Lytechinus pictus: one gene and its partners. The protein of the gene in region 3 purifies or fractionates together with the protein of the main gene of each other region. This does not show direct contact. Links are inferred from orthologs where the notes say so. Each region holds a gene or a part of one and is shown on either strand. Other genes may lie near its edges. The genes, in order: proteasome subunit alpha type-5-like, importin-9-like and akirin-2-like.

Evidence for each region.
Region 1: the proteins of akirin-2-like (region 3) and proteasome subunit alpha type-5-like purify together in Homo sapiens (affinity purification with mass spectrometry; 3 studies listed by BioGRID and IntAct, with this or other methods). This does not show direct contact. The link is inferred for Lytechinus pictus from reciprocal best matches to the Homo sapiens genes AKIRIN2 and PSMA5.
Region 2: the proteins of akirin-2-like (region 3) and importin-9-like purify together in Homo sapiens (affinity purification with mass spectrometry; 3 studies listed by BioGRID and IntAct, counting the BioPlex papers as one, with this or other methods). This does not show direct contact. The link is inferred for Lytechinus pictus from reciprocal best matches to the Homo sapiens genes AKIRIN2 and IPO9.

What each region holds. Positions count from the first base shown.
Region 1 is NC_087247.1:8,335,229-8,345,120, reverse strand, and holds the start of proteasome subunit alpha type-5-like, read right to left. Parts: upstream 4,836-9,892; 5' UTR 4,467-4,835; intron 1,988-4,466; 5' UTR 1,956-1,987; coding exon 1,927-1,955; intron 1,392-1,926; coding exon 1,325-1,391; intron 927-1,324; coding exon 732-926; intron 12-731; coding exon 1-11. UniProt on the Homo sapiens protein: Component of the 20S core proteasome complex involved in the proteolytic degradation of most intracellular proteins. This complex plays numerous essential roles within the cell by associating with different regulatory particles.
Region 2 is NC_087247.1:53,572,505-53,582,519, reverse strand, and holds the start of importin-9-like, read left to right. Parts: upstream 1-5,195; coding exon 5,196-5,331; intron 5,332-10,015. UniProt on the Homo sapiens protein: Nuclear transport receptor that mediates nuclear import of proteins, such as histones, proteasome and actin. Serves as receptor for nuclear localization signals (NLS) in cargo substrates.
Region 3 is NC_087248.1:10,423,402-10,434,144, reverse strand, and holds the start of akirin-2-like, read right to left. Parts: upstream 4,297-10,743; 5' UTR 4,021-4,296; coding exon 3,852-4,020; intron 1,944-3,851; coding exon 1,702-1,943; intron 1,238-1,701; coding exon 1,150-1,237; intron 48-1,149; coding exon 1-47. Other genes in the region: ribosome production factor 2 homolog, read right to left, coding at 10,340-10,513. UniProt on the Homo sapiens protein: Molecular adapter that acts as a bridge between a variety of multiprotein complexes, and which is involved in embryonic development, immunity, myogenesis and brain development.

The DNA of each region.
Region 1 (9,892 bases), on a different chromosome or scaffold from region 3:
AACCAGTGACTCTGGAAAAATTAAATAAGTTGGAAAAAAGAGAATGAAATCATGAACTCACTAGAGGCTGACTTCAAGACTTTCTTATGTATAATATAGATGTACATGTAGCTCAATCTAACATATTACAAAGTCTTATCAGCAGTAAGATGAAATCACTGCAAAAGTTGGCAAATAACACACAACCATTTGAAATAAATTGCAGGCAAACTTGCAGAGGTTGGTCTCAGCAAAGTTAAAGGTACATTCACTTGATACCTTCATCTCTGTTCTTTTAGTCATGTCAGTCAAATATCCTCTAAATCCAAAGATGTTTCATCAGCCAAAGCAGATTCAAAGATACAATATTGAATATACAAAATTTGACAAGCAAAAAAAAAAAAGGTCTTCACTTTAAAAGGGGGGGGGGGGGCACACTTCTGTTTAAACAGCATTTTTACATTACAAATTTTTATTTTGCTTCTCAAAAGGGGGGGGGGGCACGAGCCGGCTGTGCCCCCCCCCCCCCTGGATCCGCCAGTGACTGAGTTCAATTAGATTGGGGTTAGAATTAAGACTAAGCCGAGTACTTGAGCAGAGATTTAAGAAAAGGCTTGTGGGGTAGACGAATGGCCCAAGTTCTAAAAACAAACAAACAACAAACAGTTGTTTTAACAAATGAAGAGATCTAGTACAATTTCCTTTTCTGTTATCATATTTTGAGATCTGTGCTGGTAACTTGTCATCCTTACCTGTGCTTCAACTCTTGCCCTGTCAATCATAGTCCTAGAATCTGCTATAAGACCGCTCATGGCACAACCAATGTGGCTGTCGACCTCCACGATCTTCTCAATACTCGTGGCTTCCATCAGAGGTGATGTCACTCTCTTCTCAACAGCCAACACAATGCCCTCACTGGTCCTGATTCCAATAGCTGTAGATCCAAGCTGCAAACAACACAAAGTTGGAAACATACATAACAGTGTAAATTGCAGACGTAAATTCTTGAAATATCTGGCTAGAGATTTATTACATCTGATTCATTAACAATCAATCCATTGTTTATTTTTTAATTTTTATTTTGTTAATTGCAATATCTATTTTATCCTCTTTTTATATGTTCATTCTTAAAAAAAAAAATATTTCTCAATCCTCTTGTAATCTTTGTCTCTATGATCCATTTTTCTTTTTATTCAACAATTAATTTATACATTTCTATCTAACTATCTGAAACCTTGATCTTATTCATTCATCTCTATATTCATATTAATGACTTTTTTAATCACTTTGATTTAACTATGTTTCATTATAACAAGAATAACACGAATCAATGCTGTGTACAAACCTTAATAGCTTCTATTGCATATTCCACTTGAAAAAGACGTCCCTCAGGAGAGAACGTGTTGACTCCCCTGCCAAAATAAAAGTATGGAAAAGAGAAATTAGAGCAATGTAAAAGATGGTTAGAAACGGTATACACCGGGAGGGGAAAGGTTGGTTAGGTGTGAAAACTGACCCTGATTTATATATCCCGACAAGAAAAACATGGTCGATCCAATAACGATTATTCCCTATCATAGCTGTATAATGAACTCCTGTTCTACAACCATCCATAACATTTTCTGTAGACTTTGAAAGTTTCCATCCAAAGCAAACTCTAACACAGAAAATCTTTTGGATTTCTTTATGTGAAGTATGACCCATATATATGTACCTGTCCATTGGTTGTTATTCATTCTCTTGTGTATCAAAGGCAACTACATGCCAATTTTCTACAGGAAATAATGTCCTAGCTACTCAACACTATGGCATAGCAAATAGTTTTAGTCATGGCACCATATGACAGTTGTACAATGCAGACCTCTGAATCATATAAAAATGAACATAGGCCTATTGTTCGGAGTGTGATAAAAAAAATAAGTATTACCTGAATACTACTTTACGTACCTGTCATATTCTGATCTGGTCTGGAACATAGTGAAATGAGAATGTTGACAACACTAAATACCTGTTGGAGGAAACAAAAACCAATGGAGTAATGTGATGGACAGCAATACTTCTATTTTAAGAGTGGGCAAATCTTTCATCTATTTTATGTTAATATTTTTGGACCACAAGTAATTTTCATATATGCCCTTGTACTCTTTTTAATTTTCTGGCACTTGGCACCGGACTACCCCAAATTATTACGGTAATTTAGCATGGGCCATAGCAAATCATACGTTCAACTCCTGCCAACTCCCTCAATCAAGTGGGATCTATTCTCAAAACTTCAGACCGTGGAGTAGGGTTGCAAAGGGCTGGAAAGTTTTCATAGATTTTATAAACAAATTTCCAGGGAAAGTTTAATGAATTTCAGCTGCCAGGAATTTGGAAGACTTTTCGTTTTTTTCACACAAACTGCTAAATTTTGATTTTAAATACAACACCACCACTGATCCTCATGCTTTAAATTTAAATTGCTCAGGACACAACAGAGCCAAGATATTTATTGAAATGTAAATACATAATAATCAACACGTATATCTTTTCCAAATGTAACATAATAGACCACAAATATACAAAATGAATATCGATTCAACATGAAATGAAGGAAAACGCATATTATTCGCTTATGATCATTTTCTTAATCAAAATCTTAGTTTCTGAGTGTCAAGGGCTTTACCTTTATATATGTAACTAACAAAGTGTCTTCCATTTACCAATTCATAATAACCTGCAAATAGAACACCATATAAAGAGCCTAAGGCAGCCTTAAGATTAGAAGGACATTGTTGGAACACTCATGGCATGCCATGGCGCATCTCCTCCGACTTCGGCTCAATAAGGTTTATTGCTAATCAGAACCGCAATGCATTATGGGATTGAAAAGGGGGCAAGCAAGCTACATGTAGCTCCGCGCACTGCGGACTGTCTGCAGTGCGCAGAGCTAGCTTGCTTGCCCCCTTTTCGATCCCATAACGCATTGCGGTTCTGATTAGCGAAAAACCTTATAAATGACGATTAAGTTCTAAATAATGTAACTTGATCATGGCATGCCCCATTCACATTTTACATGCTCCATCAATCACTTAAATTCCGGCCCAATACATATTTGGTTTACGTACAATTATCGTAGACGTAGGGTGATCAGAGAGTGATCATATCCTGCTAATATTGGTCATTTCTTTTTAATAAAATATTTTGATAAATAAGTGATTTTTTTACCTGAAAAGATGCATCAAACAGAATTTTCTTCCTCTGTTTTCACTTGCAAATTATGCAACATTTTTTGTTTTAGGCACAAACATTATTTATATCATCAGAAAGCTCAAACTCTATACTCAGGGGTGTGAGTGGTCACAAATAAAAAGATCTGAAAAAAGCTGAAGAGTGTTGAAAAAGTCTGAAATAGAAAGAGCTCCCATACTTTTTGTACAGAGGAAGGTCAAAAATAAGCTGAAAGCTGAAAATCAAAACAAAAATATTTGAAATCAGATAAAAATCTGAACTCTCACACCCCTGTATACTTTCTTACAATGTCACTCTTGATATGTGGCATCTTTTAGATGGGTCAGCAGCCAGCTTTTTCCATCAAGATGCAAGACAAGATTTCTGAAATTTCTGAGTAACATAAAATCCAGAGTTCTGATTGGCTGAATAATGTTGTCAAAACAACAGGCGCGGGTAATTTGAAGAGATTACCACATGGTGAGTGTGACCTTGCAGAAGCCCAGTGTGGGGAACATTGGAATTTGCGTGGGTGTGTGGTCTCTATGACCAATCAGAGCGCAGTATTCTTGTTTTTGAGCTGTTAAATGTACTTGGCCTATGAAAAGCTGGCTGCTGACCCATCTAAAATACATCTTATAAAAATTATATCATACTAAAGCTTAGATCTTCAGCTTTATCATGATTTAAAAATCATTTGTGCTCAAACAGAAATTAAGTGTGAAAAAACAACAACTTTTGTCGCATGAAAAAATTTTGTTTCACGTTTTAGATCAAAAGTTTCCCCTATATTAGTATACAAAATCCTTTTAAAAATCCAAACACATGACCTGAAAGAATGATTCTTCTTCTTTACAAAGATACCAAAAATATGAAATTTGGTTAATATTATTTTTAGAGCAGCAATGCGGATTGGCAATGCCAATGGCCGAATAAAAAGAGGTGTTTTCGTCAGCATCAGGATAATTAACAATACAAAAACCCTCTAGTCATGAATATCACTTGGATAAAAGAAGCTACTTTTTCAGGGCTTGCCGACTGACTGTTGCGGTGGGGATGGCGTTGCATTGGACGATTGAATAATTTACACAATTTACATAGGCCCCTACGGAATATTTTCCAACATAATTATCTATGTGTGGGACCGTACTGAGACTAAGACACTGACCTAAAGACAAATTAAGCCAAAATTGAGGCATCATGATTGTTAATATCACCTTCAAAATTTCAATTAAAGGCTATTTTTTCAACCCAAAGCAATTTCATTCTAATCTTACCGTCGTTTAACTTGAAATGGGCAGGCTAAGAAGATCTCTTTTTTGCTGAGCAGTCTTCGGCGGAAGTATGTTATGTTGCCGTTGCATTGTGGGATATTTATTTTACATGTTTGCGATTCGGGGTAAAGATTGACGTCACGGGGTGTGGTCCCTCTTTTTGCACGGGAGCGCATTATGTGGAATTGCACATAGTATGTTCATGTGGAGTAACATTGAACATTGAAATTGAGTGCATCCTGCACATTATGTATTTTCAGTTGACAGTGATCATTCCTCATGGCATGATATACCTAATATCGGTTGAAAAATATGTTCAAACGAGAAGACCTTTATACGCCCTGAGTCATCATTGGTATAGAAATTGGCAATGTCTTCGTTACATCAAGGACAGACATAACAGCAATTTTTTGCATGGTAGCATAACCTATCTTCGTACATTGAAAATGATGTATATAGAGACTTCTATCGTTTAATAGTCAGTGCTGGTCATGACACACGAGAAAATATGGTCTGCAGGATGGTACTTTTCGAATTCCCTGCAAAGCAAGGTGATATCACGACGACAGCCTGACTGATGGGAGGGGGGCTGATCGAGTGGGCTTCCGTCCCCCAAAAGGGAAGCCTATGGATCGGTAATGATGTACGCCACGGGCGTAAATCCGGGAGGGGGATATTCCCCCCACTTTTCGGAGGGTGGTGGCGTGTACAATCATCCCCTCCCCACTTTCAAGACCAAAAAAAAAATTCATCATGTTATGTTATGTTATGTTATATCGAGGTTTTTTACCTGACTGCTAAGAAAGCACGAATGCCTGTGAGCAAGCAACCAGGGGACCGACAGCTTAAGGTCCTCTCCGAGGGACCTGTTAATGAGGATAAATGCCTTACCAAAGGGCACTAGCGCACCACTTGGGAATCGAACCCGGGTCACCGGAATCCGAAACCCCCGCTCTATACCGACTGAGCCATCATCATCATCAAATAGTTAATACTACTATTAACTTAATGTGTGGATTCTCTAATGTGAATCAAAGTGCTCAAATTGGCCTAATTTTTGCATTCGAAAAACGCAAAATTTCTCGTGCGGTCGCTCCGCTCCCGCGCTCATTCTGACAAGAGTCTGGTCGTGACAACATAATAGGCCCTAGCTATATAATTTATTGCAAAAGTTATAAGTCTTCATGTCAAAATATTCAAAGTTGTCAGCTCGTGCTTCTGTACCGAGAGTGGTTTAAATTCTGGATCCCCCCTCTCTCTTAAAAAAAAAATAGCTCGCGCTTCGCGCTCGCATTATGTTTATTCATTGAGATACACAGCTTGTTCAATTATACATACGGAATCTGAATTTGTTCTTTCTATAAAAAGTGTGAAAATGTTAAGTTTTCATGTCAAAATATTGAAAAAAAATGTCAGCTCGTGCTTCGGTACCGAGAGTGGTTTGAGATTTAAATCTCAAAAGAAAGAAAGAAAGAAAGAAATTTAAAAAAAAAGCTAGCGCTTCGCTCGCATCATATGCTTCTGATACATTTTTGAAACATTTTTAGAGAAAATCAGAAAAACATTTTTCTGAAATATTTTGTTGAAATATTTTAAAAACATAGTTTCATAACATTTCAAGAACGTTTGATGTTATTGTTAGAATATTCTAACAGAATGATAAGTTCACGTCCAATTTATAATATTCAAAAGATGTTAGTAAAATGTTATTTTGTTTCTCAAAAAATGTTAATATAAAGATGTTTTTTAATAATCTTATTAATTTTTTTTGGAAAACATTTGAAAAACATTTTTCAAAAATATTTTGTTAAAACATTGTAGAATCGTAGTTTCAATTCATTTCAAGAACTTTTATCATTACTGTCATAATATTCTAACAACGTTTTTAAAATGCTATTTTTACATCCAAGATATAACATTTTAAAGATGTCAGTAAAATGTTACAGTGTTTGTCTTAAAATGTTATAATGATATCACAAAAACGTCAAAATTAATATACTTCTGATACATTTTAAAAAACATCAGAAAAACATTTATATTCTGAAAACATATTTTCATGACTTTTTATAACATTAGATTTTATTCTTAAGAACGTTCTTAAGATGTTAATTTTACATTCATTATGAAACATTATAAAAACGTTAGAAAAAATATCATTTTGTTTTCTTAAGAATGTTTATTTCATGTCATTTTAACATCAAGATTAGACATTTTAATAAGATATTTTAATAACATTTAAAAAAATGTCTTTTAAATGTTTCTTGTCAGGCCATCAAAACATTATATGCTTTATATCATAATAACGTTTATTTAATGTTTAACATAAGGGGAATAATGTTTCATTAATGTTATGCAAATGTTTTTAAGAAATGTTTTTCGAAAGCATTTCTAAGATCTTTCAATAATGTTATTATAACGTTATGTGTTAGCTGGGATATTAAATAGTGAGATCACATATCCTCTCCACAATTTTCCTTCATGTTGGACAGTGCTTAAAAGATTTTCTTTCGGGTTATAATAAATCAAACATTTCAGCTCGCGCTTCGCGCTCGCATTATGTTTATTGAGATACGCGCTCAATGATATAAAAATTTGACTTTACATGAAAACGTGTAAAAATGTTTAGTCAAAATATCAAATATTTCAAGATCACGCTTCGCGCTCGCATCATTCATTGATACCCTTTCTTCTCATGATTAGAAAAACTGCATGGAATCAATTCCTTAGTTCTATGTCCACCCTCTTCATGGTCACATTGCTTCGAATACTGTTTTTAGTTCTAAAATCTGAAAAAAAAATCAGCTCGCGCTTTTCGCGTGTTAACTGTGTTCTTTATGAAAAACGTGCTTAACCAGTTTAGTTTTCTGGTCGAATATAATAATTATGAAAAAGAAATTCAGCTCGCTCTATTTGATTCGTGAAAACGTTTTCTATTCATGAATCACTGCAAACAGTAGGGCCTACACGTCCCCCCCCCTTTTTTTTTTACAATAGTTATTAAAAGTTTCAGCTCGCGCTCGCATGAATTTATTAATGAGTTATGTACGCATATTATTCATTCAAAAAGTGCTTAGAATGTCCAGTTTCCTGGTCGAAATATCAAAATTTTCTGTTCGCGCTTCGCCCTCGCATTTTTGGATTGGAGAGATATGTATTCTATTCATTGATCACTACGAACAGTCAACAGGTCATTTTACAGGCCAGTATATCAAAAATTCGGATCGTTTAGTAAAATTCAAATCTGGTTCATGAAAAGCTGCTCAAAATTTTTATAATTTGTATTTAAAAAAATTGAGCTCGCGCTTTGCGCTCGCATGGTAATTTACATTCAGGCCACATAAAATGCCTTATCTTGCTTCTATACATAAGAATGAAAATATTGTAAAGACTTTTAATCCCTCGAAGAAAAAAATCAGATTTTGGCGGCCGCGACGGGGAAAATGTGAATAAAAATAGTTTTCCGCCCCTCCTATATAAATTGATGAAAGCTGGATCTCCCCCTGGGTATGACGAAAAAAAATGTGACTGAGGAGAATGGTGAACTCAGTCCGATGGCTGATGGTCGTCGGCCGCCGTAAATGGTACCAATATTTGTAGGCAATCAGTGCCCCCCCCCCCCCCTAGGAAAGGCCTAGCGACGCCCATGCGTATATCATGCACTGGCGAAAATCCGGTCCGAGCAGGGGGGGGGGGGTGATAGCTGTATAATGACCTGAATATTCAAAATGTTGGGGACACCCCCAGTGGCATAACAGGCGGGGGCAGGGGGGCAAGCTGCCCCTGGCGGATTTCACCGGGAAAATAAAAAAAACGGGGGAAAAGAGAAAAGGGAGGGAGAAAGAAAGGGAAAGGGGGAGGAAAGGGGAAAGGGAAAGGAGGAAAAGAAAGGGAAAGGGAAAAGTGAAAATAAAACGAATTAAGAAAGAAAAAAATTAAATGAAAAAGGAAGGAATTAAGCGGGAAAAGGAACGAAAGAAGAACGTTTGAGAAAGAACAAATCATTCCGAAATAGGCCTATATATGTAATGCAATAGCATGACGATGGGAAATAAATCAAAAGATGACAAAGTGGCAAACAATAGCGGGAAACGAAGGTAGAATGGAATTAGTCAAAAGCTAAATTGGAAAACAAGGAAATTGGGCAAGAAAAAAACATAATAACACGACCGGGCTGCCGAGGATTGAAAGTAAAGAGCGGGAAGAAAGATGGACAGTACAACATTGTGCTATAAGCGTAGGGACCCTTTCTCAAGATTCACCGACCTTGTCTGAGATCAACTAATCATACAGTACACTATACCTGACTTTCTTTCTTTTGGAGATTCTATCTATGCTTTTCTTTTCAATACAAAATTACTTATTCGTTCCTGGTTACCTATTATTTTTTAAGTCCAATTTCCATCACGTTTCTCATAATCAGTTTTTGCGAAAAGTTATCTCCATCACTCTTACTACCACTAATATATCAAACAAACACGACTTCGCTAGTTTGGCCTACTGTGCACCTTTTTCACTGCAGGCCAGGGCGGCCTGCCTTTTTTTAATTGGATAGTGACTTATTTCGGTTCCTATCAGATCGGGGTCCTAATAAGTTGTTTATTATTTCTCTTCATTGCATTGGGCAATGTCGCCTCCCTCGTTAAAGGGGAAGTTCACCGGCCACGAAGAAAAGTTTTTACAGCAGAAAAACTAATAACAAATAGGGCCTATCCGGGGGCCTATCGTTTTGGTGAACTTCAGGTTTTAGGAAAATCCGTTAAAAATTAAGAAAGTTCTGCAGTTTTTGTGACGTCATAAACGAGCAGCTGTCCCATATATTATGTAATATAAAATGATTGAATTTCATTATTTTGATGGTTCCTGAAGACTGATTTTTGTTTTCTTTTCATGATCGGGTGTGAAATGATTGGTCTATTGAGTATACAAAAGGTACGTATAGAAACCATTTTCATTTTTTTATGAGAAATGACATTTCATTGATTTTGTTACCATTCGCTATGTAAAAATGATGCTCGCATATGACGTCACAAATCAAATAAGTAAAATTTGATAACTTTTTGATTGATGGATTTTTCTCAAACCTACGTACGCCAATTCCTTTTTCTGCTATTTTTACAATAAAGTTTTTGTCAGGGTGAACTCATATAACGTGCATTTCATTATAATTAACAGGAGTCCAATCAACAAATTTTCGTTCTTTATGGAACATTTGGAAATCGTAATTTCCATAAAAAGGCATGATTTCTGCATGGATTTGATAAAGTCCTCAATTTTCGCGCCACATGCTATCTCACAATCAACCAATCCCATGCGATGAACATCGGTACCGCCTAAAGAAGTGTATAAAGATGATTGACTGCCTAACTTCTCAATAATTATTAGCCTGAAACGCTCATCCACACACCTATCGGCAAATGTTTTCAGCACGA
Region 2 (10,015 bases), on a different chromosome or scaffold from region 3:
CGCTCTGGTGAATACAAAGATTATTCCCAAGGCCAAGTTACTAATGAAAAATAAATTGCAACTGTAAGTGTAACTAAGAGTCAGACTAAGCAGCTAAGCTTAAGTAACTGTAAAGAAATTTGTAATTTTGGTCACAAAACTTCATAAAGACATAAGTGATATTTTAATTATTTTTTTAAAGTGTGTGCTCTGTACAGCATTGGCATACCATAGTCCTACCCACCCAAGGGTTCATTACATGCCGCCACGCACATAAAAATCAAGCCATAGAAGTCGTGTGTTGTGGACCCAAGAAGTGAGATCCCAGCACGCGCGACCCACTAGTTAGAAATCCACTGGCACTGCCAAACGCGGTTCGTGGTGCGAGGTTAGTCAGTAGAGGCGCACGGCCAATATGGGAAACTCTCTCCAATAGGGGAGACAATCTCCCACATTGGAGACTTGCTTTGCAAAAGGACAAAAGAAACAACACCAACAAAAGCATGATTTTTTCCACCCAAAATTTTGTTTCACTGAGCCCGAGGTCAGAAGCCCATTTGTTTTGTGTGTGATTGACAACAAAAATCCTTATCAAAACAAAAGTAGACGGTGAATTTTTAAAGTAGACGGTGAAAAGGGGTAATTTTTCATGAGGAATCTGCTTATCACATTTTTATTTGCCGCCAAGGTAATCCTTTTGCAGCAAATGTAAACAAAGGAAATTGGTCACCAAAACTGGAGACTGTCTCTGAAATTGGATACCCAAATTCTTTACAAAAGTCTCTGATATTGGAGATAATCTCCCACATTGGAGACAGTCTCCAATATTGGCCGTGCGCCTCTACTGTTAGTAGGGTGTCTGAAGCCACACTGAAAAGTGTCAGCATAAAACAGGCTGATTTAGGGGAAAATATGGCACATTTTTTCGGGGAAGTTCAGGCTACTAGAAAAATGTGATCTGAATTGATTATTAACTTATGTTTGGCATGTATGGAAAGAGAAAATTCAGGGGCTTCTTTTGACAGTAAGGACAAGTTTATATGATCATTTTAAATAAGGATTTAGAGATAAATTGCAAACCCTTATTTTTGTGTGTGTTGAGATTGCCATTTCTCCATGCGTTTTCTATGGGAAAATGAAATTTCTGTTTTGCACAATTTTTTTCACTTTGTCGCAATTTTTCATTGTGATCTGGTTTCCAAATCTTTATAAAAATCATACCATCAGATAGAGCATAAAAAATCCTATTGGACTCTTTATGGACAAGTTTTTGGCATTAATAATAAATTTATTAACAGCTCTCGGAAGCTAAAAATTTGGATTTGTGTATGTCCATTTCTTAACTAGAGCCTACACAGTCTATGGCAGAGAAATGCTGAAAATTGACCTAATTTCATTCTTCTTTTTTGCAGCCAATAATTGGACTTTTTTCAAAAATTTTACATTTCTGTCAGTCTGAAGGTCATTTCTCTTCAAATTCACAAACTTGACAAAGAAAATGTGATATTTTCTTGAAATAAGAAAAATAATTTTTTTCTCCAGACACCCTACTGAGTACTGTTAGTGTTAGTATACTAACTAACCTCGCAATACATGTGAGTGAGTCCTACCTGTAGATTCCCCACAGGCAGGATGGTTGCAGTGAGCTATCAGCTAGTGCTTTGAGGTAGGATAAATATAGAGTAAGTGTAACATTAAAAGTCACTTAACTTACAGTTAGGGGGGGCCTACACCATATTGAGTGTATGGGGCTACTAGCATGACTACCATGGCATGAGCCATGAGTGACACTATTTTATAGTAATATACTAGGCCTATACTAAAGTAATAGAACAAGAAAAATGTCAATGGTGTTGATGATACGAACTTAGAAATCCTATCAACTTTCATAACGTTAGAACTCTTGTCGAATTTTCCACAATACCTCGAAATAACAGAATAAAAGTTCAATCCTCTTGAGTCTTGTCAAAATTACTTGCCTCCGCTCCGCTATAAAGTGGGCTCTCACTTCACAGTCACAGTGCTAGTGCAGTGCAGTCTAGGACCCTTCGTTGCAACTTGCGAATTGCATGGAGCACACACGTGCGCTCTTCGGTAATGGTGTGTTTACGTTAAATTTGCCAACTACATTATTCCATAAGGGATAATTATCATTATGTATTTTTCCTGGATATTATACTACGAATTTTACATTGAAATTTTACCATTTCATATATTTTAAATTTAATTCTATAATATCAAAAAGAAACTAGTACCGTACGGAAGTGTCCTTAGCCTCAGGCTTAACAAGCCAGGATTTATCGAGATTGTGTTGTTCACTGGAATGTATATTTTTTACCCATTAAAAAAATCAACTATTCCATTTTTTTTTTCAATGTTAATGACTAATTGATTTCGAATCTTAAATATATGATATAAGTATTGACGAGCAGACAAATAATGGAACTAAATCATTAAAATCTAAAGAAGTTTCGTCCGATCTCAGACTCAGTAAAAGAAAATGAAATTACGGTAAAAAATATATATATTTATATGACTCCCAAAGAAGGCCGTGTTGTCAGGGTGGCCGAGCGGTCTAAGGCGCCAGACTCAAGAATAATTCTTTCTCTCGCACATGAGACAAATGGGTGTTCTGGTCTCCGAATGGAGGCGTGGGTTCGAATCCCACTCCTGACACATTTTTTTTTTCTTCTCCATTTTACAGTCAGAGGAGAGACATCACAATAAGCACTGCAAAACGGTAATATCATAATAAGCTTGTGCTTGAATCATCTATCTTCTTCACAATTTTCCTATGTTAAAGAATAAGTGGTTCCATATATCGGATCAGTATAGGCTATATTGTAATGTACAATCACTTTGACTTTGAACTGAATGATTAATAAATATTACTAAAAAACAAAAATATCAGTATAAGAAATTTCAGCTCACACATTGCGCCGCTCATGGATTGTTTAAAATCATGCACAGCTCGTTCTTTATTTGAAAACTATATGCCAGATTGGAATAGAAGACATTCAGAGCTCGCCCTTTGCACTCTTATCATTTACTAAAGTAGATAGGCCCCATATACCCATCATTTTCATGTTTACAAAAAAGTTTATAGAATGTCACATTTTTAGGTCTTAATCTAAAAATATGTGCAACAGCATGACGCAGAAGAAAAGAAAGCCGCCCATCTCCTCCCCCGGTCTGTACGTCCAATGGCTAGCAAAAAGTATACAGTGCGTCCCAGAAAAAACGAAACCGAAATTTAGCGATGATTTATCATAACTTAATCACAAATACAGTAGACAAATGACCTACCAATGTAAAGCTTAGAATCTCCTCTTTCATCTGATATTACTTAGATTATTCCTCATTCACGCATGAGTGAGCAAAAATAATTTGAAGAGAGGATACCAAAAACTCATTTGGCGGGGGGTATCTGAATTTTAAAAAGAAAATCACATGCCTAAAAAGTTCAATATCTGCTCTTTTATTTGATACCTTAATCACAAAAAATGGTCAAGAAGTAAAAAAGTTACGTTCCCTCGAAACAATGCTTGTATTTCCATAATTTCATTAAATAAACGTGTTTTCACCGGTTTCCCACAGAAGCTATCGCATGGTTAACAAAAGACTTCAAGCATGGCTGAGCGTCAACAAAACGGAGTGTCGAGTGAGTTTGAACGCTAGCCTGTAAAACCTCTTCATTTTATGAAATTATTGAAATTCAAGCCTTATTTCAAATAACCAGAACTTTCTTATTTCTTGACCATTTTCTGTAATTGAGGTATCAAATTAAAGAACAGATATTGAATTTTTTAGAAATGTGGTTTTCTTTTTGAAACTCAGATACAGCCCGCCAAATGACATTTTGGTATCCCCTCTTCAAATTGTTTTTGCTCACTCATGCTTGAATGAGAAATAATCTAAGTATAATTTCAGATGAAAGAAGAGATTCTAAGCTTTACAATGGTAGGTCATTTGTCTATTGTATTTGTGATTAAGTTATGATAAATCATCGATAAATCTCGGTTTCGTTTTTTATGGGACGCACTGTATAGTGCTGCAAATTCATCGGCCCACTTCCCCATCTCTTAAAGTTCTCCTCCTCATTCTTCATTGTTGTTGTTGATGTTGTTGTTCTCGACTCAGCTGACTTTCTTACTCTTCTTCTGACTCTCTATACTTCTTCGACTCCCGAGATCTTGCGGATCTCTATTTCTCTATTTTCTCCTCCCCCTCATTCTTCTTCTTTAAAAAAAAAAAAGTCCACCCTACAAAAATGTTGATTCGAATAAATGAGAGAAAAATCAAACTAGCCTAATGCTGAAAATTTCATCAAAATCGGATTTAAAATAGGAAAGTTATGACACTTTAAAGTTTCACTTTTTCACAAAACAGTGATGCAAAATAATGAGAGTCGATGATGTTCCCTCATTCACTATTTATTTTGTTTTTTTATTGTTTGAATTATATAATATTTCACTTTTATTACAGATTTAACAATAGGTACCAACTTGACTGTACCATTATAATTCTACATGTTCAGAGAAAAATAACCCCTGTTTCACTTGACAATGAGGAGAAAATTAGAATTCCATATTTCATATAATAAGATACAAAAGAAACAGTGAGTGGATGACATACCACCACTCCTCATATTGCATACCGACAAGGATGTGCATAGATCTATTATAGACCTACTGGTTTGTGAAATTAAGTGAAACTTTAAAATGTCATAACTTTCTTATTTTACATCCGATTTTGATGAAATTTTCAGTTATGCTTGTTGGATTTTTCTCTTTTTACTGAAATCAACTTTTTTGTTGGGTTGGACTCCGGGGTGGACTCGTCCTTTAAGTTGTTCCGTTTGTTCTTCCCATTCACTGACTCTGATCTTTTTCTGACCCTTCTTCTTCTTCTTAGTTCTTCTTCTTCTTCCTCCCTTCTTCTTCTTTTTCCTTTTCTTCTTCGTCTTCTTCCTCTTCTTCTTCTTCTTACTTACTCTTTTTCTTCTTCTTCTTCATTTCTTCTTCTTACTCTTACTCTTCTTTTGACTCTGCTTCTGAGTCCTCTTCTATTCTGACTTTATCTCTGATCTCTATTTGTCACTGCATGTACTACTAGCACTGGATAAAACTCGTAGCGCTAGCGCGCGCAAATAAAAAATTGACACACACGGCGCGCACTTGTGATCGTGATCGTGAGGAAAAGTGAAAGAAGTCATCATGGCTGTCAGTGAAGTTGAAGCGAGCAATACTGTCAGGAATGCTTTAATTGAGAGCCTTACAGCAATCCTTTCTCCTCAACAAGATGTTAGACAGCAAGGAGAGGAACAGCTTAAGCTCCTAGAAGTAACAGAGGGTTAGTAGTCTCTTATCGACACGTTTGGTTATCATTTATGTTCAACGTTCTTACTTGTGATTGTGTTTGTGTAGTCCCAAATGCTCAGTTTCATGTCCGTGCGGTGTGAACGTGTGAGTGTGAACTGGGAATTGTTTTAAAACTTGTCATATGGCACACTGTGTGTGTGGATTTGAGTTTTGTCAGACGTGTATCAATCAGATATGATTATTTACGTCTGGGACCGAACTTTAACGTCACCATCCGAAAGACGTGACCAGGGGCTGGGCTCGAACCTCTGGCTCTGCCAGATGCGGCTCTGCATCAATTGAATTTGTATTTGTAACTTCCCCAAACTCACTCCTAACGTTAGTAGGGGCCGCGGAACCGGGGGGGGGGGGGGCTTCAGCCCCCCCACTTTTTTCCAAAACCGTGTACAAAAACGTAAAATTGACCATATGATTGTGATTTTTAGCATGGTCAGCCCCCCCACTTTGAAAACCGTTCCGCGGCCCCTGCCTAGTACCACTCCTAGTACCAATCATGAGGTCCAAACATTACATGTATGGACCTCATAGGCGACATCAGTAGTATTTTTGGTTAGAAATCTCTGAGAACAGGATATTTAGGCCTATATATTATATCACAAGTACAAGCTATATTCCTTTCTCTTATTTAAATTATAATTTTATAGTGTAAATGCATCGTTAGCAACAACAAAAAAATGAAAGAAATGAAGGGGAACTTACATTTTCACGGCTTTTTCCTGATTTTCTGGGCAGTTGCTCTTCACTTCTGACTCGCAATCGAAGCTGATATGAAGATCACGTGATTCGCGTTCTCGTCAGCTGATCGGTTGGTTATTCTTTTCGTCAGACGTTAATAATATATATTTTATAATGCTAGCATTCATCGCTAATTTAGGTGAAAGAGATTGAAGTTAAACAGCGCCAGGTCGGAATCATAATTATTTTGGAAGAGTGTATTTATACACTCGATCTCATACCTGACGTAGACGGCGCTATTCAACAAATGCACAATCTTCAATATAAAAAATAAAACAGAAAGAACGCCTTGAACACATGCCAAAATGCCTAACGATTTCTCCGCGGCATTAACAACTATCGTAAAGGGCGCTCCATTTATTAATAAAGATGGATGTATAGCTGTCTATGGCGACAAAATTTGCCGCAAATATTTACGAAGAATTGTGAGAAATGGTCTGAAAATGCAACAAAAGAACCGGTGAGTACCGATTAAACATTATCAATTTATTTAATAGAACATATTTCATGACTAGAGTTTAACAATTTCTAGATAATATTGCTTAGTTCTAAGCTAGGGCGGCCCAAATGCGCGTGAGTGGAGTCCCAGTTTATTAGCACGGGTAAGTATTGGGGTGTCGCCTAGAGTGCCTAGTACTAAAGTCCTAGTACCAATGAGGTCCAAACATTACATGTATGGACCTCATAGGCGACATCTGTAGTATTTTGTGTCAGAAATCTTTGTGAAGATGATTATTTGTGTATTATAACACAAGTACGAGCTATCGTACTGTCTATTCATTAAATTTTTGTTTAAGAAAGTTAAAGCATTGTTAGCAATAAAAAAAAATTGAAAGAAATGAAGGGGAACTTACATTTTGACGACTTTTTCCAGATTTTATTGCCAGTTGCTCTTCACTTCTGACTCGTGATCGAAGCTGATATGCAGATCACGTGATACGCGTTCTCGTCAGCTGATCGGTTGGTTATTCGTTTCGCCAGACGTTGATAATTATATATTTCATAATGCTAGCATTCATCGCAAATGTAGGTGAAAGAGATTGAATTTAAACAGCGCAAGCTTTAATTTTCTCAAAAATAACATTTAATTGATTGCACAAGTTTCGCCTTGGAACAAGTAGGATCATTTGGTCCCATGTTTGCGTAACTACGGGGGGGGGGGGGGGGGGGTGGGGCGGGGTGTCCCTACCACTATACACCCACTAGCCAGCAAATATCGTTTTTTCTCCTTTTTTTTAACCAAAATACCTCCCCCCCCCCCCAAAAAAAAAAAAAAAAAAAAAAATAGGGTTAAAGAGAAAGAGAATTGAGGAACACAATATGCTCTATTTTTTCCTCTTTTACTGTTTAACGAGACTTGTAATGAAATATTAAATGGGGCTTAATTAGAACAGCCTTTTTTAAGTCAATTTATAAAAAATATTCCTCCTCGGGATTTGAGCTTTCATGAAATATGAATCTTTTTCATGACTACCGAAAGCGCTAAATATGTCCAAATTTTTAGTTGGTATATAAAGCTTTAGCTCATGCGTTGCGCCCGTCTTATTTTAATGTTATACAATTTTATGCTTTTAATGAATTTCTAATTCTCAGATCTTGTCGCAATCCGATTGGTAGCTATAATGAAAGATTATTATGTTTCATGAATTGTTCAAAATGTGTCTCTCTATCAGTTTTGAATATTAAAAAAAATGTCAGCTCATGCTTTTTGCTCGCAATATTTTGATTAGTAAGAATTTCTTCTCTTGTATATGCGAGTTATAGTAAATAACTAGAGATAGAGGGGGGGGGGTCCCTCAGCTACTTGTCCTCGCTTATTCCCAATTTTTGTCTCACCTGCATAGCAGAGTGAGACTATAGGCGCCGCTTTTCCGACGGCGACGGCGGCGGCGGCGTCAACACCAAATCTTAACCTGAGGTTAAGTTTTTGAAATGACAGCATAACTTAGAAAGTATATGGACCTAGTTCATGAAACTTGGCCATAAGGTTAATCAAGTATTACTGAACATCCTGCCTGAGTTTCATGTCACATGACCAAGGTCAAAGGTCATTTAGGGTCAATGAACTTAGACCATGTTGGGGGAATCAACATCAAAATCTTAACCTAAGGTTAAGTTTTTGAAATGTCATCATAACTTAGAAAATATATGGACCTAGTTCATGAAACTTATACATAAGGTTAATCAAGTATCACTGAACATCCATAGTCAGTCCGCAAGCCCCTGTGTTAATGAGCAAATGAGCAAGATTTATCCAAGTCCTCTCGTGGCTGAATGCATGTCCCTGCAAAATCTCGTGAATTGTGAGACTTTCTTTCTCAAAGAATTTAACCACTTTTTCCTTGAGTAATATTGATTATTTTTGTACCATGGGCAAGAGTAAATGTTACTCTTTTATATTGGTCATTTCTTTTGAATGAAATATTTTGATAAATAAGTGAATTTTTAACCTGAAAAGATGCATCAAACAGAATTTTCTTCCTCTGTTTTCATTTGCAAATTGTGCAACATTTTGCGTTTTAGGCACCAACATTATTTATATCATCAGAAAGCTCAAACTCTATACTTTCTTACAATGTCACTCTTGATATGTGGCATCTTTTAGATGGGTCAGCAGCCAGCTTTGTCCATCAAGATGCAAGACGAGATTTCTGAAATTTCTGAGTAACATAAAATCCAGAGTTCTGATTGGCTGAATACTGTTTTCAAAACAAACAGGCGCGGGTAATTTGAAGAGATTACCACATGGTGAGTGTGACCTTGCAGAGGCCCAGTGTGGGGAACATTGGAATTTGCGTGGGTGCGTGGTCTCTATGACCAATCAGAGCGCAGTATTCTTGTTTTTTAGCTGCAAAATGTACTTGGCCTATGAAAAGCTGGCTGCTGACCCATCTAAAATACATCTTCTTATAAAAATTATATCATATTAAAGCTTAGATCTTCAGCTTTATCATGATTTAAATATCATTTGTGCCCAAACAAAAATTAAGTGTGAAAACAACAACCTTTGTTGCATGAAAAAAATATTTTGTTTCATGTTTTAGATCAAAAGTTTTTCCTATATTACAACATTCTTTTAAAATTCCAAACACATGACCTGAAAGAATGATTCTTCTTCTTTACAAAGATACCAAAAACATGAAATTTGGTCAATATTTAGAGCAGCAATGGCCGAATAAAAAGAGGTGTTTTGGTTCGCACCAAGCTCATTAACTATGCAAAAACCCTCTAGTCATGAATATCACTTGGATAAAAGAAGCTACTTTTTCAGGGCTTGCGGACTGACTGTCCTGCATGAGTTTCACGTCACATGACCAAGGTCAAAGGTCATTTAGGGTCAATGAACTTTGGCCGAATTGGGGGTATCTGTTGAATTACCATCATAACTTTGAAAGTTTATGGATCTGATTCATGAAACTTGGACATAATAGTAATCAAGTATTACTGAACATCCTGTGCAAGTTTCAGGTCACATGATCAAGGTCAAAGGTCATTTAGGGTCAATGAACTTTGGCCAAATTGGGGTATTTGTTGAATTACAGCCATAAATTTGAAAGTGTGTTGGTCTAGTTCATAAAACTTGGACATAATAGTAATCAAGTATCACTGAACATCCTGTGCGAGTTTCAGGTCACATGATCAAGGTCAAAGGTCATGTAAGGTCAAAGAACTTTGGCCACGTTGGGGGTATTTGTTGAATTGCCATCATATCTCTATAAGTGTATTGGTCTAGTTCATAAAACGTGGAAATAAGAGTAACCAAGTATCACTGAACATCTTGTGCGAGTTATAGTAGTTTTCAAAATCAGCACTGCTGCTATATTGAATCGCGTGATGCAGGTGAGACGGCCAGAGGCATTCCACTTGTTTTTGTATTATACTCGTGTTCAGAGTGTTTCAAAGTCTTTTCTGATTTTTTT
Region 3 (10,743 bases):
ACGCTGAATCTGATCTTGGTTGAACTTTACGAATGCATCATATTGCTCTGAAATAACAAAGGATAAAAAAAGCAAATGAATAATAACGATCAATGCAGTAGGAACTAAGAAAGGTTCTCAGAATGTTTAGTCTATAAATTTACCTTCATGCTTGCAGCATAACTTCATTTTGCATACTATAGAGTATGGCAAAAATGGCATGAAAAACCCTTTGGACTCAATGATACATTTCCTTGTTACAGTTAATTCTGCACAAGTGGATGTTCCATTTAACTCTTTGCATGCTGAATTCTGAGGGATAATAATGACAAAATTTATGTGTATGGTGTCTTCTTTGAATTATTGTATAAATATTATCCAAGAACTAAAGCCATTTTATTAGCTTTTATATGGGAGAAAACTAATTAAAATTGTGGAATTTAATGTAATGAATGGGCAAATTGCAACATTAGTATGCCAAGGGTTAACAAAAATATTCACTTGAGGTCCAAACAATTTCCAGACCATTTTATGCGATATATCAGGTATTTCTTTACTTGATACTACGGACTACGGTCAGAAGATATTTGAACTGGACAGCTTCACCTACATTAAGAATGTATCTTCACTTTATTCCCATCAATGATACATGGTTTTAGCTTTAGTGTAACCAGTGGCAAGGAGGTTAAAGAGGAAACTTCATCAAAATGACCTTGAAATTTCTTCAATTGAACATCCTATCCTAGGGAAAGGATTCACAGGATACATTCAGCTGGGGTGCAGCAGAGAATATGTCACACTTTATATTGTGTACAAAGTCATTGGGAAATGTGGGGAGTCACTGGTGAAAACAACAAAAATGTTAAAGAGGCAAAATTGCGATTTATATTTTGCCATCTGGCAGACAATGACTCCAGACTGAACAATTTCAAAGGTCAAGTCTGGACACCAAAATGTCAAATTAATTAGATTTAAAATGATTTTAACAAGCATGCCGCTCATAATTATTACTTATGGCAATGACCTATTCTAGATTCATATATCTTGATTACCCATAACTGAATCAGTCAATTACGAGTTTGATTTTAATCTAACATAATTCCTGTAAGAACCCTGGCATCTTGCTTGATGAAAAGTATCAGTACTTGTTGATGAAAAAGGGATACCTACCAGCTAACTTGCACGTTAGGGCTTTATCATACTCCTCACGTATCCTAGATTCTTGCTCCTTCAACATCCGTTCACATATTAGGATAACCTGTAGAACAAATTAGAATTAAAGATACATGTAGCTGTCAACATCAGCAACACTGAAATAACTTTTTACAGCCATTACTTGATATTTCACATGACTGCTATAGCTTCACTATAAAATGGGGGATATGAAGACGAAAGTCTTGCTAAAGATCAAAAGTAAGGCAGTGGCATTCCTATTTGATCCCAAGCCTGACAAAAAACCCCAACACCATGAGCCACAAACATGCAAGAACCAAAATAACTACTCCCTTTAAAAAAAATGAAATAATTTTTTTGATAAATGAACTTGGTACCAGTGATCTTGCACTATTGACATGGACTTATTCATCTAAAATAAAATGCACTTGATCCGTTGAGCCATGCATGAGTATAAAGCACATTCAGGGAAAACTTGTTTCGGCATGTTGAAAAAGAAGGGGGTACTTTTGGGGTTGTTTATTCAAAACCATCCATCTCCATTCCTACCTGTTTTAAAGTGAACATGGGTTGATCTTTGGTTTGTGTTTGTTGTAGAGAGCCTGAAGGCAAGTTGGGCATAGGATTGGTGGATGTGGATGGTGGTGAGAAGCATCCCGATGTTAGACCAAACCTTGATGCTTGCTCCATCATCTCTGATGATACAGGTGACTCGGTGCTGTACGAATCTTCCAACCGTTTCCTTCGCTTTATCCTTCGCCATTCTTGACTAATGTGAGCTGCAAGCTGGCCTGTTCATCAATAAGAACAAGTAAGGTAATCCATGAACATCAGTTTAAAAAACTTAATAACATTACAAACCATTTCAAGACGCCATGCGTCTTGAACTCACCCAACAAAAGGATGATGGTGTTACAATTTTCATTTCCAATTTCAGAGACAGCCTCTAGTTTGGGAGACCAATTTCCTTTGTCTACATGTACATTTGCTGCAAAAGAATTACCTTGGCGGCTATTTGAAATGTGATAAGCAGATTCCCTAAGATAAATAACCCTTTTCACTGTCAACTGTTGTTTGATTTTTGTCATCATTCACACATAAACCAAATGGGCTTCTGACCTCAGTGAGACAAAATTTTGGGAAGAAAAAATTATGTTCTTGTTGGTGTACATTGTTTCTTTTGTCCTTGTGCAAAGAATATTGGCCGGGCGCTTCTACTGTATGTCATACATTGACTGTTTGACAGGTGAGTGGCACAGCTCAGTAATTTAAAAATTGATGGCAAACTTATGGGTCTGCACATTTAAGTCTAATTCGACTGGGATTAAAAAAAAAAATTCTCACTTTGTCGTGACATGTCATGATTAAAGGTAAATGCTAGTTTTGGTAACGATATCAAAATGAGTTCGTACAGAATCCAATGAAATGACCACCAAAGTGTCTGTTTGTATGAATAAAACGCATGTGCCAAAGGATTCTGGAAGAAATTGTGTAATTGCTGAGAAATCAGCAAATAAGCACAGGATTCGGGTAGAGCGTCGGGCCCGACGCTCAAAGCAATAATTATACACTGTCCCACGTGCGCTTATCTGTGTAGGGGAAGTTCAGTCTGAACATTATTCAGCGTAGATTTCAAGATTTCACAAAGTTCAGTTTATGTAACTGTACCAGATCTAGATCCTCGATGATATACTGACAATTAAGCCTGGTTTTACAGACTTCCTCATGAAATCAGTGTTTACTGCAACTACTGGAATTTCTCTTTAACGTTAGACTAGGGTCTAGTCTAAGAAAACTTAGTCAATCTCTTTTCAAGAAATCTAGAATTGACCACAAAAGTGGTAGGTATGTGCTGCAGGCGAGACAAAAAACAGGGGCTTAGGAACAGGCTTATTGTGAAGAGGGTCCTTGGAACAGGCTTCGGAACTACAGTACAAATGTTTGTGAAAAATGGGGGTCCTTGGAACGGTTTGCCTGCATGTGAGTGTGCATCTCTATTGAACGGGCATACATGTACATGCATGCAGCTAGCCCGGTGGCACGGGCGCTGCGCTCACGCAGCTCAGAGATGGTCAGAAATCGCTCTGCGGCCGCTTTTCACCAAAATTGCAGCTCATTGTAGCGGATACTGGTACATGCAACCAGAACGGCGTAACGAAAAATATGCGAAGCTTTGCCTTTGGAATGGATTTCTTTCTTTTTTCTCGATAAGAAAATGAGCTAGGCCTATGCTTTAGTTTAGTTTGGAGCGGCTTTCTTTGTTCTTTTTCTCAACAAGATAAAAATGCTATGCCTTGGAGCGGAAATTTGAGTGTAAAAATGGGGGTCCCCTCCACGGCACATACCCACCACGCATTATATAATGAGTGCTCCCCCCTCCCGGAGTCAGCCAGTGCGAAACTGCATCACTCGGCTTCGGGCATCAGCGCCCAACTTTGTCATGTTTGTAGATTTTGCACAGCATTTGTGCCAGCATGATGGGCGCTAATGTAGTTTCACACCCAGGCATGGACATTGATGAAGTGAACCACTTTTTACTTCAAAAATGTCAACAAACCAATAATCGTCACAGAATGTCTGTGCAGTCTGCAGACGCAGACAACGCAGGCCGGAATTTCCATTCATTGTGACGAATGTCGTTTTGTTGACATAAAAAAAATGGGACTGGGTGACTCACGTTCAACTTCAAATAATCTCACCTGGTGATATTCTAGGTGTTACTGGAGAAAATGGTGATTGTTGAAGACTATTTCTAGAAGTTGGTGTTGACGGAGTGATTATGGGTGAACATCTTCTTCTTTTTGGGGAGGTTCCAGGGCTATGAAGTGGATCAAAGTCGAGAGTCCGTTTTAGTGTCGCACAAGCCATTTTAGATTTACAAGAAGAACTGAGAAACACCCCTCCTTTTAGGCCCAAAATATGGGCACATGCAACGCTCAAATTCAAACAAACTGAAAGGGTAATGTGGAGAAACCTCCACTTGATTAAAACTGATCAGGTAATTGTCCTTATTTTACCAAATTAAACTGATGGTTCGCGATTTAAATCGACGTTTCCTCGTCCCCTGCGATGTTTAAAAGTTGCTTTGTAGGCCGTATACCGGGCCGGGCTTACCGGCCGTACGTACGTACGACGTACGTACGTGTACGTGTCCGTACGTACGGGTCCATAACATACATGTACACACTGCGTGATTACGTACACATTGGTACGTACGTACATCGAGCTTGACTGTACGGTACCGTAACTAGAATCCCCCCGTAACTAAATTACCGTAAATAAATTATTCTTGCCCTATATGTTTATACGGCGTACGATATAAATAAAAAAAAAAAAAAGAATTTTGGGAAAGAGATGACCCGAGGGCCCCAAAGATATGTGTCCTAATGTACTCATACATATCGGGGCATAGGCCTATGATGGGGGGGGGGGGGGGGGCCCGGGGGGGGGGGCACTCAGTATATAATGCATAGTGGGTATGTGCCGCGGAGGGGACCCCCATTTTTACACTCAAATTTCCGTTCCAAGGCATAGCATTTTTGTCTTATTGAGAAAAAGAACAAAGAAAGCCGCTCCAAGGCATAGCATTTCCCCGGCATTTCCTTTTTATCGAGAAAAAAGAAGAAAGAAATCCGCTCCAAAGCTTTGCATATTTTTCGTTACGCCGTTCCAGTCGCATTGATCTGCTACAATTTTGGTGAAAAGCGGCCGTAGAGCGCTTTTCGACCATCGCCTAAGTGCGAGCGCACCCGGCGGAGGCCGCGCTAGCTGCGTTATGCACGATTGCCCATTCCATAGGGATGCATACGCACTCACAGAGATACGGAGATCCGTTCTGAGGACCCCCGTTTTCACAAACATTTGTAGTTCCGAAGCCCGTTCCGAGGACCCTCCTTTTTAAAATAAGCCCGCTCCAAGGCCCCCGTTTTTTGCCTCGCCCGCGGCACACCCCTACCACTTTTTTGGTCGAGTGCCCCCCCGGGGGGGGGGGGGGGGTGGGGGGGCAGCTGTTGGGCCGGGACACGTCCCCACAAATTTTGGATTAAAAAATATTTCTGCACGCTTCAATATTTCTTCACTTTGTTAAGTGAGATATTTATAGATCTAGCTGTTCATCGACGGATCGATCGAGGCCTAAATAATTTTTCACCAGGATATGCATGGGCTAAAATATCAAAATTTTCGCCCGCGCTTCGCGCTCGCATTATTAGGGAAATACAAATATTTATTATAACCTCCCTCCTTTTTCACGTTAATGTGTCAAAGATATTGCAGATGGATCAAGCCATCGTTGCGTTAGTGGCAGCGCAAAAAAAATTAATGATCATATGATAACATATAGGGCCCGGATATAGGGTCGCCATGTTTTTCAGATCTATAGACGTGTGGGCATTCTAAATACATTCCTTTTAGTATGAAAATCAATCATGCGAGCCGGCAGAAGCGTGAGTTGAGAAAAAAATTATATTCCGATCTCAAGAAGGGTCAATTTTGCACTATTTCAAGCATAGGAAAATTGTGAAGTCGATCATGGATAGCACTGCATGAGCGCGAAGCGCGAGTTTTTTTAAGATAATTATTTTGACCTATAAGGACCGGGACATTTGAGGGGCATTTTGTCATCATATGAAAATGATGACTATATCTTCCTATATTCTTATTTCCTAAGCTCGAGATGAAACTTGTCGATATATTTTGAAAAAAATTAAGGGATGACATAAACTGTCATGTAAAGGGAATAGTAGTTTGTTAGAATTAAAGGGGAAATTCACCCTGACAAAAGGTTGATTGTAAAAATGGCAAAAAACATGATAAAAACTGTTGGCGAAGGTTTGAGGGAAATCCATCAAAGAATAAAAAAGTTATTACAATCTTAATTATTTGATTTGTATACGTCATGCGAGCGGCTTTCCTACCAACATGCTTGGTAAAAAAAAATCAATCTATCATTTTCTCAGAAAACTGAAAAATGGTTTTCATTGCACCTTCAGTATATCTGCTCCTAAAAGAAAATAAAAATTAGTCATCACGAACCGTAAAAAAAAAGAAATTTATGCATTTTATAATACATCACATATGGGGCAGCTGCATGCTCGTTTATGACGTCACAAATCAAAACTTGAAATTGTAATAACTTTCTTAATATTTTATGGGTTTCCTCACACCTTCACCAATATATTTTTCTGCTATTTTTACAACAAAGTTTTCATCAGCTGAACTTCCCCTAGCGATACGTTTCGACAGTCAGACCTGTAAAGGGATATATCGTGAGACCTTTATGGAAAACAAAAAGAGAATATGTACTTGACATAATTATCAAATGATACGAGTTCGCAGCGCGAACTCAAAATGTTGATATTCAATTAAACCAAAAACAGATTTAAAACAGACATTTCTACAGAGCACTTGTTTTAAAATTAATGGTAAATCAAACAAAATAATGAAAGCTCGATGTCCGAGCTGAAATATTGTTTGTATATTTACTTAAAAACTTGATATTTTAAGCTTCAGATCAGCGGCATATTGAGCAATAAATATTATTGTATCTCATTGAACAGGCAATGCGAGCGTAAAGAGCAGGCGAAAATTTATGTAGTGCACATGCATGAAACGTTTTTTTTCTAAGTTTCAAGTCTTTACCTTATTTTATTCACTGATCGTCTTCCTCTTCCTAGTTTATTCTCTCCTCTTTTATTTTCTTCTCCCCTCTTTATCCTTTATTCTTGCTTTTTCTTTTCCCCCCTTCCTTCCCCTTATTTTTCTTGTTTCTTTATTTGCTCGACAATATGGGGAGGGCGGCCCTGCCCCTGGACCCGCCTGTGATTTTGGATCCAATTATGGACCAAACGGGTGTATAGCCACTCATTGGGGGCACAATTAGAGGGGGAATGAAAAAAAAAACACACACACAAAAGGAAGGAGATGAGAGGAAGAAAAAGAGAAAAGGAGGAGGGGGATACAAGAAAGAGGAAGATGAACAGGAAAGGGATCTGGACAACAGAAACACTTTCAGGTCAGCATAAAAAAGAAGAAAACTCCGCTCGAGTTTTAATTCACACTCGCAATGCCTATTTATTATATTCGTCAAGATAAATATTGTGTTCAAGCTAGGGCATTGAAATGGCGCATAAGATTTCATGTTTTTAAGTAAATATATACAGAAGTATTTCTACAAAAAATTGTGCTCCGAGATTAAATCATTTTGTTTAGTAAGATACAAATTATTTTGATGATTTCCTAGAAACAGTCACTAAAACGTTTCTTTTATTTTTACCTGTAAATTATCAGGAATAAATAACAAATATTCAGCTAATCGGGCTTCACCCTCCCATTAGGCCTGTATATTTTTTCAGTTATAAGAGCGCTAAGCATAATCGCGGGGTTTTTATTGAGGACTATTGTCGAAGTTTAGCAGTATGCTTATTCCCGCTCCCACTTTCTTACTTTTTAATTTGATTTTTCCTTCCTGTTGTTTTATCTTTACCTTCCTTTCTCTCCCTTTTTCTCGTTTTTATCTTTTTTTTTTACGGCCAACAGGGGTCGCAGCCACTCCGGCCCATATGATATCAATGTTGCATTGAGCCCTGATGTGTTATTAAATGCCTCGATCTGATGATAAATTTCTCTTGATTACTCAAAGGGGTAGGAGAAGCGTAGGGACGAGGCGGGAAGGGGGACTCCTTAAATCCCCTCGCTCTTATATATTTTTAATATCATGAAGAGGGTCAGCGGCAATCCTCTTTCTTTATGTTTTATCTTCTCTCATCCTTTTATTGGCCTTTACCTTCAGAACCACTAGGGGGGGGGGCAGACTGCCCCCCTGACGGGTCACAACTGGTCCAGGGGACGTGCCCCCCCCCTTTTTGAGAAGCAAAATAATAATAATTTGTAATGTAAAAATGCAATGAAAGAAACAAGACGTGTGCCCCCTCTTTTTTTTGTACGAAATCTCCTTTATTTACGTTTGAAGACCCTTTTTTGGCAAATCCTGGGTACGCCGCTGTTCAGAACCCTAACCCTTCTCTCTTTCCTTTGTCTAAGCGCGGAGGGGGGGGGGGGGGGGGTCGAGGGAGAAAGCTAGGGCCAGTCGCCCCTGGACTTCTTCTTTTATCTCCTTGTCATCTTACTCCTTTGTGGGAAAATAGCAGAACCATTTCAACGTCACTTTCCTCCATTTTCTTTTCTTTCTCCGTTTCCCTTCTTTTGTTTCTCTTACACTTCATTAATTTCCCCTTTTTCTATTCCTTTTCTCTTCCCCTTTCCCCCATTTTGCTTCTTTCGCTTTCCCTTCCTTTCTATATTCTATCCCTTTTTCTTTTCTCTTTCCTCTCTCTCTTTTCCCCTTCATTTTCTTTTCCCTCTTCCTTTCCCTCACTTTCTTTCTCTCCTTTTCCCTTTCCCTCTCCCTTTCCCTTCAAACTTTCAACATTTTCTTTTCACAATAAAACCCTCATAAAACATAAAATTTAGAGTTTGTTGGAAGGTTTTATAAAAGACAAATAACATTTCATTTCAAAGAAAAGAGGTAAACTCCCAATAATACACATACAAAAAGTGGAGATTTGTTATTTTTATATTTACATTGTACATGTACATATATCTCTTTACTGCTTTATAAATTACTTCTGCTTCATAATATGTAACTATGTGGTATCTTTATAGATGCTTTTCTGCCTAATAATGTTTTATCTTATTCTTTACATATTACAATGCAATAATCCTAAGATATGAAGGGGCAATGTTACTCGCATCCGCTTGGAAACTTTATTTTCCTTTCATGGAAAATGAAAGCAAATTATTGAATAATTTTTCAAAATTAGAGTAAAAACTAAAATCATTTATTTGACAATAATCAAATAACCATCTTATACAAAATTCATTCAATAATGATAAAAAAATCTATAAAAAATATAAATTCTAATGAAAATTGATTGATCTAAAACGACTTTTGACCTTACGTAAAAATTATACTAATCTAATTTCTGATACATATTACCTTAGTATTCAAGTTTAATAAAACACAGACTGATAATTTCAACATTACAATGAAATTCACATATTAAACTGGTTATTGATTTCTTAAAACCCTATCTAAGCTGAGGTACTTTGGGAGATCACATGGCGCGCATCAGAATTGGACATTTTTTATACACACGCCCGATACACGCTAAATTAAGCGTAATTTATACAGGAAATCTGCATAAACCATGGACTCAACCGTGGGTTTTCAAAACCACCTTTGTGAATTCGGGCCAGTGTAGTATTCTGATTTTAAAACTAGTTTTAATCCTATTCTAACCTATAATTTTAATCCACACTTCTATAGAATGCTGGGCTTCATGATATTTGTTTGATATTTATGGCAATTATAATGTACCAATGGATTCATTAAAGTTCATCACATTTTTCTATTCAACCCATTTCACAACTGAATTATTATTTTTTGTACAACTTTTTTTGCAACAGGATAGTACATTTTAATTGATGAATGTATTGACTAATGGCACTCCATAAAAGTATGGTCTCAGTTAACCCAGGTTAAACTCAACCATGGCTATCAGAGTACCATTATCATGTCAAAATAACATTCCAAAACTTTCATTTTGACAATTTTACACCTGCACGACCCAGTAACAGGTGACAGTTGAATCAAGTTGTATGATTAATAGATACTTTCTAATTGCTGGTTCCATGACATTTTCTCTGGTGACAATTGCTCAGCTCTAAATTCCACACGATAATCAAATGACTTCAACCATGGGTTTAACACTATACCGTACCCTTAACCTAACATAAAACCCTACTGCAACCCTAACCTTACATCGTAGACGAAATTAAGCCCGGAGCAATTGTCGCAGGAGCATTTGTTGTGTCATCTTAATTGCTTTCTTTTCCACGCCTCATTCTATATTCATTTCATACCTCACTATCTCTGGTCTGGCAATACCAGAATCAAGCTATTATAGGAATGCACTTGATTCTGTTTGATGGGACAGTCTCAACTTGGCTGATCCCCGAAGATGCAGCTATACATCAGAATATCCCATTGCTTTTCACAGAGACCGGTGTCAGTGAATGATCTAATCCATATGAAAAGTCAAAATAGACTGACTTTAAAGTTCAGGCAAATATAATATCCATGTTTGCCATGCATGTCATCAAGTTCTAGTGTGTTCACTCGAATTGATCATTCCTTCCTTTTCTTCTTTACATCACTCTGGTTGTCTTCTGTTTGTTCCTTTGTCCTCTTAAGGGCTTTGACCTTTCTGATCTGTAACTTGGCCAAGTCTTGTTTCTCCATGTGAACTCTGCCGTGCATGGTCTTGAAAACGTCATGGCTGATGTTTTTCTTCTTCTTTGGCTGGTGATGAAAGAAATATGTCGGAGAATGATTAGGAAAATATGTTGTGATGTGCTCCGACATGACCTATTAGCATCATCACCTAGCATCATCATCATATCACCATGATCATCAGCATAAGCATCATCATCATCTAGCATCATCTTCATCATCAACATCATCATCATCTAGCATCATCATCATCATCATCAGCATAAGCATCATCATCATCTAGCATCATTATCATCACC